2 linked regions of the Lytechinus pictus genome follow. The protein of the gene in region 1 purifies or fractionates together with the protein of each later gene. This does not show direct contact. Links are inferred from orthologs where the notes say so. Each region holds a gene or a part of one and is shown on either strand. Other genes may lie near its edges.

The links. Proteins that work in one complex are often made in the same cells at the same time.
Region 2: the proteins of cytosolic iron-sulfur assembly component 2A-like (region 1) and cytosolic Fe-S cluster assembly factor narfl-like purify together in Homo sapiens (affinity purification with mass spectrometry; 4 studies listed by BioGRID and IntAct, with this or other methods). This does not show direct contact. The link is inferred for Lytechinus pictus from reciprocal best matches to the Homo sapiens genes CIAO2A and CIAO3.

Annotation. Positions count from the first base shown.
Region 1 is NC_087249.1:9,756,788-9,763,750, reverse strand, and holds the start of cytosolic iron-sulfur assembly component 2A-like, read left to right. Parts: upstream 1-3,948; 5' UTR 3,949-3,988; intron 3,989-6,963. UniProt on the Homo sapiens protein: Component of the cytosolic iron-sulfur protein assembly (CIA) complex, a multiprotein complex that mediates the incorporation of iron-sulfur cluster into extramitochondrial Fe/S proteins.
Region 2 is NC_087254.1:35,013,112-35,020,179, reverse strand, and holds the start of cytosolic Fe-S cluster assembly factor narfl-like, read right to left. Parts: upstream 3,009-7,068; 5' UTR 2,753-3,008; coding exon 2,690-2,752; intron 445-2,689; coding exon 352-444; intron 76-351; coding exon 1-75. Other genes in the region: cytochrome b-245 chaperone 1-like, read left to right, coding at 3,710-3,797, 4,174-4,289, 5,750-5,840.

The DNA.
Region 1 (6,963 bases):
ATGAATGCAGTCTTCTCCCGATCTTGTTCTGACATCTCTACTTGCCAGTAACCACTTTGCAGATCGAGAGTTGAGAACCATTTTGATCCAGACAATCTGTCAAATGAATCATCAATACGTGGGAGTGGAAACGCATCTTTGGTGGTCACATCATTCAGCTTCCTGAAGTCAACGCAGAACCGGGTAGAACCGTCCTTCTTCTTGACTAACACGATTGGTGAAGCCCACGGGCTTTCAGACGGTTCAATCACACCACGTCTTGTCATATCTTCAATTTGTGCCGATTCTTCATGTCTTTGATGGACAGGTAATCTCCTTGCTCTCTGTCGAATAGGAGGAAATGTCCCCGTTTCAATCTGGTGCTTCACTACATCTGTTCTCCCCAGGTCATCTTTACCTCTGGAGAAAACCTCCGAGTGCTTGCAAAGGAGCTTACTCAACTTCACCCTCTCGTCCTTGTTAATAAGTTGTGCGCTGTGTTTCCATGTGTCTTGCAAATGTTCTGGTATCTTCATTCCATCAACAGTTATGTACGGAGTCTTGTCGGTCTTAGAAGGGTTGTCTCCGGAGACAGTTTCCTGTGTAACTACCTCAGCTTTCTGACATTGACCAACGGTGGTCCCTTTGTAAAACTTGACAGGTTGGTTGGTTACATTGATGACTCTCACTGGTATTGTCTTGGCGCCCGGCCTCATCACTGCCGCATCAACTAGAACACTTCCTGAGCCAGTCCACTTAGACGAAGGTTCCAGGATTACGTCAGTGAATGCCAAATTGTCTTCCATTTGACCCTTGATAACTTGTCCAGTGAGGGGTGGTAGGGTGACGGTATCACTCACAGTGACTCTGCAACAAGCAGGCGGCCCTTCAAAGCTATGGCAAGGGACCTTTACACCATCTACCCACATTTCCCGACGACCAAAATCAACTTTGCATTTCCAGTCCTCAAGGCAATCAAGACCAAGAATTCCATCTTCTTTTACGTCTGCAAACCAAACTAGTTTCCTACGTAACTTCCCTCCTAGACACATGTTCAGTTCTCCTTTACCCTTGAAGGGAATACTGTGCACATCACTCGCAGTAGTCATTTTAACACCTATGTCTCTCTCAAGGAGCTCATCACATCCGATGAGTGAGGCAACACTTGTCTTCATGACAGAAACTGAAGCACCGCAATCTACCAGCATCCGGACTGTGTGGTCACCAATCATGACATCAACAAAAAGACCAATATCTCCTGACCGAGCTGATCTAACAGGCATATATCGAGCTTCCTCGATTCTTGTCCCATTGGGCCTTTTGGGAATTTCTACCGGCTCTCGACCCTTAAAGTCGGTAGGTTCTAGTTTTCCTGTTGCTTGCTGTTTCCTTCTGTCATTGCAGGACAATTAGCCTTGAAGTGCCCTTCGCTCCCGCAATTCCAGCATGTAGCTTCTTTGTTTTTTTCTGCGAAGGATTTGGTTCTTGATTGGGATCTGTAACCTTTCGACCTATCCTTGGACATATCTGCCATGTCTTTTCTCAACTGGGTGACAGTCAACTGCAGTTCTTTCACCAATGTCTCCAGTTGATGTTCAGTTGGCTCTTTTTCTTCCTCGGTCTCTGCATTCAGAGTCCGAACTTGTCTGTAGTTTACTCGCATTGCTTCTGTAGTCTTGAGCTCAGAGATCCTCGCTGCAACAACAAGTGCATCGTCGATTGTTTCACACTGGGCTTTCATAACCTCAAAGCGAACTTCAGCATCCTTCAGAGCATCAACGAAACTATCCTTAGCTAGTGTCCTTCTTGTATCCTCAGATGCAACAGGATATACCTTCCTGATCAGACACTTTACACTATGAGCCAATTCTGTCAGGGTTTCTCCCGCTCCCTGCCTCCTGTTCTTGAGCTTCAAACGGTTTAACTCTGCTTGACCTCTTGATGCATAACGGGTAGTCAAGGCGGCTACTAGAAACTCATAATTCACTCTCTGTGATGGTGACAGTTCCATTAGAATCTCCTGAGCACCACCACGCAGACTTGCTGCCAGAAATACAGCCTTCTCTCGATTGTTCCAAGCGTTAATATCTGCTGCTATTTCAAAATGACTTAAATAGCTCTCAAAAACTTCCTTTCCTGTGAATGTGCCTGGCTCATACACTGGCTTTCTGATTGTCCTGTCAGGTGGGCGCACAGATACAATAGGCCTGCCTATCCTCTGAGGCAAGTATTCATGATCCATGGCCGAGTATTCAGGTTGTCTCCTTTCTTTTCCTGCACACTGTGCGTCGTAGTTTAGGTGATCAAATGAACGCAGAATGCGTGCGCGATGCGAATCTAGGGCCTCTCCTTCCCGATAGTTCCAATCGCCTTGTGCGTCTGGGCGTTCGCTGCCTTGAGATCGCAATGAGTGTGCAATGTCTGCTATCAAACCATTGTGACAACTACTAACGCTTCTTGCGTTGCGATAGTCGTTGTCGAATATATGTGCCCTGTGCATGGGGCCTGGGATCGACGCATCATTGCGTCCTGTCAAAACGCTTCGCGCGTTGCGGCCTTCGTTGCTCAACGAACGCACTGTGTGTGTGTTATCAAGGGTCATAGCCCTACTGCGTGCTCTCGGAACGCCTTGTGCGTTGTAGCCATCGTCGCTCAACGAACGCACTGTGTGTGCGTTATCAGGGGTCGTTGCCCTATTGTGTTCTCTCGAAACGCATTGTGCGTTGCGGCTTTCGTTGCTCAACGAACGCACCATGTGTGCGTTATCAGGGGTCGTCGCCCTATTGCGTTCTCTCAAAACGCCTTGTGCGTTGAGGCCTTCGTCGCTGACCGAACGCACCGCGTGCGTACTTTCAGAGATCAGCTCCTCACCATGCCCAATCACAACGCTTCCTGCGTCGCGGTTTTCGTTGCTTAACACGCACGCTTCGTGCGTAGTGTCAGGAAAAATCTCTTTGTTTGGTCCGTCCATAACGCTCTGTGCGTCGTAGCTCCTGTTGCCCAACGCCGAACGCAGTGTGTGCGTGTTGTTTGAAATCTGCTCCTCCCTGTGTCCGCTCATAACACCTCGTGCGTTATATTCGTTGCCCAACGAACGCACCTGGCGAGCGTCCTCCACCATTAACGCATCATACAATCTACTACCGACGCGTCGTGCGTCCCCATAGGCTGCGTGCTGTGGAAAGCTTCGCACGTGGTCTGACACGTGGTATTCATCTACCGTGACAAATGATGCTCCTTCCTCCGGTTGAATTGTTCCCAAACCATAAGGGACAGTTTCATTAGCATGAATAGGGTGTATTCTCGATTCTGAGATTGATGTGGGTTCTGTGGGTTCCATAATTCGTCTAGAATTATCCCGCGACTGCCACCAATGTAACGCTCCCCACACTCAAATCTCGCCAAATCTTCTTCTCCGTGTGCTTCAATGTAGCTCTCACTGAACTCACGTATACGTCAATCACACACCATTGATTCACGCTAAAATAAGAATCCTTCTGTGATGCCGTTCATTCACATTAACAACATTTATTTAGTAAGTATTCAACAATCCAATCATGAACAATAATAACTGATTATATAGGGCAATTTACCGATTAATCTGGATTACAATTCTTGTATCTCTCCCGATCTTCTATCTGTCTTCCGTTCGTTTCCTCTTCGTATTTTTCTCCTTTCTGCGCCCTCTACGTTAGAACCTTCAGGCGCTACAATACGATACGCAATACACTACATGGGTTTGCTATTGATGTTTTAGTGGTCGAGGGGAGGCCCTTATTTCCTACTTTTTAGCAAGACATGACTAAAAATATATACAACAGAGCATAGAATTAATCATTAAATTTGAATGTATGTCAACAGAATATACTAAGATAACAGGATTGACAAGATTTAAGTGAATATTTACAACTTTAGGCCGGAGCTCCCAGAAGTTACGTCCGACGGTGGCGATGGCGCCCTCTCTCTTCAAGTCTGTCACTGAGAAAGTCATGGATAGAAATTGAAAAGTGTAAGGGATTTTAGAATTTATAGTAATTATGAAGACTCTCACGTTAATATATCTGGACTTTGATTGGGGAATGATCGATAGCCGCTACGAATACTTTTCTTAAATCTTAGTCCCATTCATTGAAAAAGACGTTGGGGCTTTTTTATACCAGTATACTAGATGTTGAGTCACACTAAGTAACACTAACAGTGGCAGTGCTTCGATAGACCTTATCGCAAATAGATTCACGCAAAGGATCATGGGATCGAAAAGGGAGCAATAGCGCCGCCATTGTCCGGATGCTACCATGCGAACGCAAGCAGCCGACAATAAAGTGTACGATTTCCATTTAATGTATCAAAATTGAAAATACGATCGACGCCTGCAGGCAACAACAACATTTTGCCACTCACACGTATTGCGAGGTTGGCATTAGTATAAACCTCGACATTTTGCTAACTTCCAGTAAACGCCTCGTCATATTTGTTCCAGAGTCTAACATCACTTTTCTTCTTAATTATGGGTGACAGAGATGGATGTGCTGTCTATAGCTGCAAGAATTACCACAGATCTTATGAAGACAAGTGCAATTTTATTTAATTTTCGCGCACTGTCTCAGTGTCTGTGCGTATTCTGAGCTGTGCAAAGTGCGCTTGTAATGTATGCACGGACTGCGGCTGCCAATGCGGGCACTCTCGGCCCAGCTCAGGGACAGTGTACGTCGGCGAGGCAGTGGAGGAAAGTCCCGGAATTCCAAGGAAAATAATAAAATGATGATCAATAAAACAATCTCTGCAATACTAGATTTGATTACTTTATTCTAGTTATATATTTTAGTAATATATCAATCGATTGTCAAGAATACATGTTTCATGAATAATTATCTCAATCATGATTTTATTCAGATATTAACCAAGCTGTGTTTTCTTTTTCTCTCCACAGATACACAATTATTGCATGTAATTCAGGATCATGGCCGTTTTTTTTATTAGTGGCCTGGTCCCAAGATTTGATAATACTGCAAATACAAAATAATGAATTAAATATTTAAAAAATGTGAGAATAGATGAAAGTTGAGAGAAAAATAAGTAGAAAAAAAATGAAATGAAAAAGGTGATCTGATGTGAGAGAAGTAATTAGTGACTGAATGCGATGAAATTAAATGAAGATGGAAATTTTGAAATAATATTTGTTTTATTAAAACAATGGAATATACATCATTTATATAAATTAAATATCCATCAGCTGCTTAATTTCAGACAGACAAAATAAAATTACAGAGAGGTTAGAGGGAGACCATGAAGAATACTAGGGCCTATACGGCATCCAAAAATGTTTTAAATACAGGGATTTATTTAATCTTTATGCTGCATGTCATAGGTCTATTTATATGTATTTCTTAATATGTATATTATATATATACATTTATACTCACTAGCTCACTAGACAGTGTACGTCGGCGAGGCAGTGGAGGAAAGTCCCGGAATTCCAAGGAAAATAATAAAATGATGATCAATAAAACAATCTCTGCAATACTAGATTTGATTACTTTATTCTAGTTATATATTTTAGTAATATATCAATCGATTGTCAAGAATACATGTTTCATGAATAATTATCTCAATCATGATTTTATTCAGATATTAACCAAGCTGTGTTTTCTTTTTCTCTCCACAGATACACAATTATTGCATGTAATTCAGGATCATGGCCGTTTTTTTTATTAGTGGCCTGGTCCCAAGATTTGATAATACTGCAAATACAAAATAATGAATTAAATATTTAAAAAATGTGAGAATAGATGAAAGTTGAGAGAAAAATAAGTAGAAAAAAAATGAAATGAAAAAGGTGATCTGATGTGAGAGAAGTAATTAGTGACTGAATGCGATGAAATTAAATGAAGATGGAAATTTTGAAATAATATTTGTTTTATTAAAACAATGGAATATACATCATTTATATAAATTAAATATCCATCAGCTGCTTAATTTCAGACAGACAAAATAAAATTACAGAGAGGTTAGAGGGAGACCATGAAGAATACTAGGGCCTATACGGCATCCAAAAATGTTTTAAATACAGGGATTTATTTAATCTTTATGCTGCATGTCATAGGCCTATTTATATGTATTTCTTAATATGTATATTATATATATACATTTATACTCACTAGCTTATTTTTAATATACTTGATATTTGGTCTCGCGGCCATTCGATCCTCAAGTCTCACCCCCCCCCCTCTAGTACTAGATCTTGTAATGATCAAACTCAAAAGCCTGATTTTTAAGGACTATATTTCCTCCAAAATAACAAAAACTTGCTAAATCTACTAGTTATGGAGATAAGATATAATTATTATGATCTACATTATGATTCTCATCAATATTCTTTAATTGAAAAAAATAGCCTCAGGCTCTCTCCGGATCGCCGACGTGCTCTTTTCTAAAGTCGATAGCATTGACCAGCAATCACCATGCTCACTTTTCCCACAAAATCTTCCCAAATTTAGCCCCAGAAAACTTGGAAAATTCGGTGAGCATTGAGTTCATACTTTCGCTGTGCAATCATGTTACAAAGATTGTTCTATAAATCCACATTCAAGTATCCAAAATAATTTCAATACTAAGAAATCAAACTTTTAAAAAAGCCTGGATTTTGAGTGACACTACACAAAACATATGGCGTTGTATGGCTTCCCGAAAGCCAATTTCGCGTTTGCTCCCTTTTCATTCCCGTGATCCTTTGCGGTGACATACGCCCTCACGCGACGAACGCTATTTGCGAAGTTCAGTCTAGTTTTAATACTTTAATGGCTGGAGGCATCGGGACCACATTTTTGGGCTGAATTTGGTGTATCTATTTTAGCATATAAGGTTAATACTGTTATGTTTGACCACATTGGTACTCAGAGTAGAAGTGACAGTAGACTCTATAAACTTTTTACTATAGACAGCTGGCAGCCGTCTGTTTCGAGGAGTTTTTTTAACATTTAAAAA
Region 2 (7,068 bases), on another chromosome or scaffold:
TGTGATGCAACCACTACAAGCCAGACAGTCATTCAATGTTATCTGAGCCTTCTCCAATTTCCTCGACCCTCCATACTGTATGGTAAAATGACACATCATATGATGGTAGCCTTGCCTAACAGCACATTACATGAACCAATGTTAAAGAATGCCAAAATAAGTCAATGTGTGCTGATTATTCTTAAACATAAACTGCTAATTTATACATTATTTATTTAATGTCTAGACCAATCAAAAACAATTAAAAGAATATCGAAAAATATAGTCAGAATTGTTACAAGCACTAGTTTTGGGTTGTTTAATTTCATGGCTTGTACGCCCTGAAATCAATATGTTCTGAATAAATCTTACGTCATCTAGTTGGAAATAGCTGCCATCGTCTTCAATCCGTATAGCTCCTGGTTTACCCGCCACTTTTTCCACCTTGACTGGTTTTATACATTCCTGGGGATAAAAATACATAAATTTCATAAAAAATCGAGACAGACAGAAATAAGACTTAAAGGGTGTTTGAAGAAAATAATTACAATCAATGGCAAATTTACAATTGATCTAGATCAATTATAACTAGACCTACCGGTATATCAAATCAAGTTGAACTTCCTGTAGCTAAAGCAAACTGAACAGTAAATGAGTGCAAATTTTCAATGAATTTTTATTATTATTGATTTTGGGACCCACAATTGACTTAGGTATACAATAATATTAATAATGATATTAATAGTAACAATAACAATAGTCTAATAATAATACCCGTAATAAAGATTGATTTATTAAGCACATTCTAGAAAAAGCTCTCTCTCTATAAAACAAAGTATTTAAGAATGGAAGTTATGCAAGTTAAGGTCCTCTACGTCTGCACAGTGCCCCTTTTGCGCACACGCGTATCTGTGTGATTCTAGTAAAAAGATACACTACAACCACAAACTTTACAGATGCAATACATAGTCATAGAAAGATATTCCTTAAAAATCTTACTCAAAATGGTGGAAAATAATGAATTTTGTGCATTTTATGTGCCGACCTAAAAAGACAGCCTTTCTCATCAAAATCCCTGAATCGTGTATAAAGTGAATGGGCGCATGCGCAGTCGCAGACATGGGCACAATATCTTTTTTTTTTGTTCGATCTGAAAATGTCTGGCCGTGCTTTTTTCCAACCAAGAAAATCATATATTTCTCTCAAATTTTTGTGAGATTTTTGGCACACTTTTGTGAAAAAAAAATTATCTTAATTTAAAGGAGAATGAAACCCTTGAAACCAGCTGAATCCATATCAAAGTGAAAAATCAAAGAAACATACTGTTGAAAGTTTGAGGAAGATTGAATGAATAATAAGAAAGTTATGAGCATTCGAATATTGAGATCACTAGTGCCATGTAGATCCTCACAACGGCAATGCGACCAAGATCTGTGATATCACACACGTACAACTCCCTTATTACTTTAGTACTTATTTCACTTATATTCTCACTTTTATAGAGTCTATCACAAGGTGAGGTGTTCTCTTTATGATATGACAAGTACAGAGGTTTCACAACATTATATCATTGATGAATCGTTTGTCATATGATTAGAATGAGCAAAAAGAGATGTTTTGGGGTATATTTTCAGTGTCCAAATGGGAGAGTTGTACGTGTGTGACATCACAGATCTTGGTCGCATTGCCAATGGGAGGATCTCCATAGCATTAGTGATCTCGACATTCAAATGCTCATAACTCTTTTATTGCTAGTCCTATTTTACTCAAAGTTTTGTTGATCTTATTCTTTGATTTTTCTGCTTTCACAAAAGCTAACTTGCTCCAAGAGTTTCATTCTCCTTTAAATTGTTAATGTTAGGTGCACAGACATGTTCCCCCCTCTTCATCATGTTACTCATATAGACGTAACTTGTAACAGTTAAGTTTCTTGCAACGCCCCAATTTTTTTTCACAAACTTTGCCTCCCACTGATTGATATCATCCCACAGTTATTACTAAATGCATACGGAAAGACAAAGAAATATCAAAGATCTAAAATAATCTCAAATGTAGACCTCTCAAGCTCACTAAAAGTCCAAACACAAGCTGACACAAGTTATTATGGCAAGTTCCCCCAAGTCTGCGCAGTCTCCCTTGTCTGCGCATACGCGTATCTGCGCAATTCTAGTAAAAGAAGATACGAAACGAACACAAACTTCACACATGCAACACATAGACAAAAATCCGACTCAAAATGGTGGAAAAATAATGAAATTTGGGCATTTCATGTGGCGTCCTCAAAATGCAGCCTTTCTCATCAAAATATCCGAATCGTGTGCAAAGTGAATGGGTGCGCAGACATGGGGTACCACTTTTTTTTACAATTTTAAAATGACTGCCCAAGGTTTTTTTCCAAGAAAATCTCATATTTCTTTCAAATTATCGTGAGATATTTGGTACATTTACTCATGATAATAATGAACATTATTAACAGAAAGATTTTGTGAAATAAAAAGAAATACATGTAAAATCTTGACTCAAATCGTTAGGTGCGCAGACTTGGGGACCACCATTATATACAACTAAAGACAAGTGTCAATCATCTTAATGTCATTGACATTGACATTGTCAATGATCATGTCAATTGAATTGTCATATCTCTCCCTCTCACTCAAAATAATTAAAAAAAGTCTCAAGTCACACTGACAAAGTCAAAGACAAATTTTACCTGCGAAGGAGTGATAAAATCATCAAGATCAGCAAGCTTCAGTGCTCCACTAAAGTGCGCCATGACCAGGATCAGTACGTTTCACACACAAAACAAAACATGCAAAGTCACAGTCAGAGCGTCTCGAGCTCGGCTCTCGCATCTCTCCGTGCAGCAGCTCAAAGCCCTTCGGTATCTGCCTCTTTAGCTCCGCCAGCGGTCCGGCTAGTATGCATATCGAGAATCGGTGAGTTGAAGGGGCGCCGGACTGACATCCGACGAAAAAGAAATGAGGAGGGGTAAGGACGTACGAGGCAGATAGCATTTTCAATCTTGCTCTAAAAATGTTCAATAAACCGTCAAATTTTGGACTTAAAATATTTTTATATAATAATAAATGCTTTTAAAATATTCATTTATAGATAATAGATTGAAATATATTTAAAACTGTGATTTAATGAGTTACGCTGGAATAGATCCTTATAAAGAAAAGGGAATTCCCCCTTTGCAAAATTGATCCACCTCTTGTAGCTAGCTCTTCATCTTTTTGCTTGCATCTCACGGTACTCGGTTAATCCCTTTTCTTTGTTTTCAAAGCTTTGTTTTCAAAACTAACTCTAACTTGTTGGCATGCCAACTTGTTATATTCCGGGTCAAACTCACATCACAGGAACAAGGAAATAAGAGAAGATGCTGCTAATCCTTTGTTAGTCTAGTCTGTGCTTGCTTGTTGAAGTCAGAGGCGCGAGGCCGAAGAAGGAGTGAAGAAAGGCTGAACTGCCTGGCTGGATCATTTGACATTTTGATTAGGATACTTACATGCAGATACTGAGATAGACAATACTGAATTGAACAGGAACAAGGAAGTGACTTACCCATTTATAGCATATACTAGTACCAGTGGTACTGAGCCTGAGGCACATTAATGATTGATACTCATCAACAGCAGTCTATTTCCTTGCAATATATCAAGTGTACTTTCTGTATTGTATTTCATCATAACACAAGTTTGTTCAACTGAACTGAACTTCCAAGTTCAAGATGGTCTACATGTCGGTTGCCGCTCGAAATGAAAAGATGGTGCACCTGGCGAGATCGCCTGGGTTTCGAGCTTGGAGTACATTTTTTGGTGAGTGGATCTAGACAGAATATTTTATTGGAAAACTTGTATACATTCTCAAATTGAGCTTTGCTTTTGATTTTTTAATGAGTATTTTAAAGAGGAGTTATTCTTTTTTTTATTGTTCTTGCTTCTATCATTCTTTGACTGTCTATGATCATTTTTATTATTACTGATCTGGCAATTTCATATAAAAATAAATTGATCATGTTGATGATAAAATTTGAAATATAAGAAGAATATTAGGCATCATACATGCACAGAAAGTGATTTCCAGAGTGCAAAACATGGCTGTCAGAAAAGACAGAGATTAACCTGTTTACTTTAATTAGTTGAGAAACTGTATAACACAAGGAACTATATCAATTTATCTTATATTTTTCAGGTATCCTTGCTATAGGTTGTGGGATGGTAATCTTCTCAAATGATGACTGGCTGTGGAAATCATTCTGTCTCTTCTGCTGTGGATTTGTGGCAATATGCTCTCTAGATGACTGGGAGGTAATTATATCATCAGTTCCCAGGGGACCACCGCAATTACACATGGACACCAACCACGCTGTGGTCAAGAAGTCAATTACTAGATTCCTGGTTCTAAAGTCAATGGTTCAATTCCTGACTGTGGCACCTTGGTTTGAGCAAGGCATTTAGATGCATTGCTCTTTTACTTTAAGTTATTAAATTTCATAATTCAATAACTGGAAATGCCTCAAGCATGATTTCATACCAACATGCACACATTTTTATTTTTTTAATGTTTTCATACACAAAGTCATTAAAGAAGGTTGTTTTCACAGATGAAACATGTACATGTGGACAGTAAAAAAGGGTATCAAAATTGCCAGATCAGGGAAAGGTGTACAAACTAAATGCAAAGGCCATATACTTCACCCTGTCATTAAAAAATATATATGAGGCATCATTTAGGGTGGGGAAAGTTGACAAAATCAAGATCAAGATTACTTGTTTATTTGTTTAGGATTAATTTTGTGAGTCCATGTGTGAGCATGCTGTTCATCTTGTAATGACAGTGCCCTCCCCTGGGAATCACTTTCAAAATATTATATTGCTTCTTTGGCCATTAACTACTTGTAGGACTTCAATGTACAACATGACCAATGGCTGTTAAAATTGATGATTTTGGTTATGTCATTCATTTTTGACAAATTTGGCAAATTAAAGAGTAGCATGAATACAGTACCCAGACCGCCTCAAAAAAAAGAAAAGAAAAGGGAATTCATTTCATTGGGTGCTGCATTCTCTAATCCAAATTTTATGTTCAATAATAAAATGTGTTCATGACATATTTTTACCTTAAATTGGGGATTTGTATGGGTGTCAATTTTTTTTTAGACTTGCACAGTATTTCGGGTTATTTAATGATTTTTTTCATGCAATAACTGTAAATAAAGTCTACTGAAGTTGCATGTACATGAAACTATACTCCTGTGATTAATTTTGTTGTTTTTTACAGGTGCAATAGCGCCACCTGTAGTTTTTTTTTTTGATGAACTGAAATATGAAAGTCCTCATAATTCAGTAATTGAATCTCTTGTGCACATTGATTAGAGAGATAATGAGTTCCATTGAGAAATAACATTATTTAGCTGAAAATGAAAGTGCTCTCTTATTGTAGTCATTAGCAATGTTTTTGCATTTAGCTTGCGTGTTATTTGAGTTACAGGTATCTTGCCTATTGTGTTCAATTATTACCATTCATATATATCTTTCCCCTCTATGTTTATAAATAATTGTTTGGTACTGCAAAATCATAAAATAGCCTTAAAAACTGACATACTAAAGCTTTTCAACATGCACTCATCGGAGTAATGCTAGAGCAAAACAATATGTTATAGAACCAGAAGACACAATGTTTGATAAAAATTAGCCATGCTCATTTTAAATTCCTCTTATTTTCTGATTGAAATTTTCTTTGTATTTTAATTCTTCTTCATCATCAGGAATGCATCATTGAAAAGGATGGTGACATTCTTCTGAAGAGGTTTAGTTTGATTGAGAAGATCCTTAGACCGAAAGAAAATCAGCGGCAAGGTAAGTAATCCAAACAATTCTGGGGTCTGTTTCATAAATTTTTTAATAATAATAACAGTTTAAAGCTACTGAAATCACTCAATTTGATTGGCTGATAGTAAACATCATAGGAATTATGCATACAACTAATCTTTATGAAACAGGACTCTGGGGTTCTGAACCATTTACAAACACCTACATGTATTATGCAATCTGGGACTCGATTTGAAAAATATTGACAATATGGAAAAGAGCAATGCACTTTTAAATAAGATGATATTTTTCTGTCAAATATGTTACTTTCTACATCCCCAAAACATTAAAGTACGTCCTAAGCATCATTTAAGTTTTGTTCAGGATAATTTCTGAAAGATTACAGTGTATGCATATGGGCAATTCCATAGGTTGGTGGACATGAGCTCAATGTGTCTTTGTACATATAGCCCATCTGAACCGTAACGTGAGTAACCACTTTATCTGCACCCCTAGTAAAAACCATGTGTTCTTTATTTTTTGAATTATATACAAATTTGTCTCCCTAATATACTTCTAAATGGATATAATCAACTTTCATAAAAGCCTTGTATGAGGACACTTTTCACTTATGTCCACTTTTCATTTTATGCATGTCCAAATCATGTAACATGAGTAACCCACACATTTCAAAGATTTGCCAGGAGCATAATGAAATTTCCCAAGTTTTGTTTTTATACAAAGGATAGTCAGACTGCGTACTATGTTGTGATAAAGAGATGTTTAGTTCCTATCAATAATAATGGAGTTACAGCTCCAAGTATGAGTCAAGGTGTCTCGAAATGTAACGTGGGTAACCGTGGAATAGCCCATATGCCCATTTTGGACAAACACCTGCTTTCGCAAGAATGGTAATAGAAGCTCAGGTTAATTTCTGAGTCTAATCTTATCAAGAAGCATCAGCAACTTTATGGAGTGTCAGATTTAGAGTTGATAGGAAGGAAAAGAAACACTTGAGGAATGGGGATATAATAATACCAAATATCATGCAATTTTCTGAGAAGCAGAGATGTTAGACATGTTAATTCCATGCATCAGAATGCTTTATAGTTTGGGATAATTTTTTTTCCAGAAAGCTTGTTGCAGAAAAAGTTGTATAGTGTAAAAGCAACTCAGAAATAAAAAAATGCAACTCATCAATCTGCTTTTCTGATTGGATGAAAAACAAGTTCGTTTCATTGCAATTCTTTCTGTTTGCAGGCCCCTGGATCCTCAT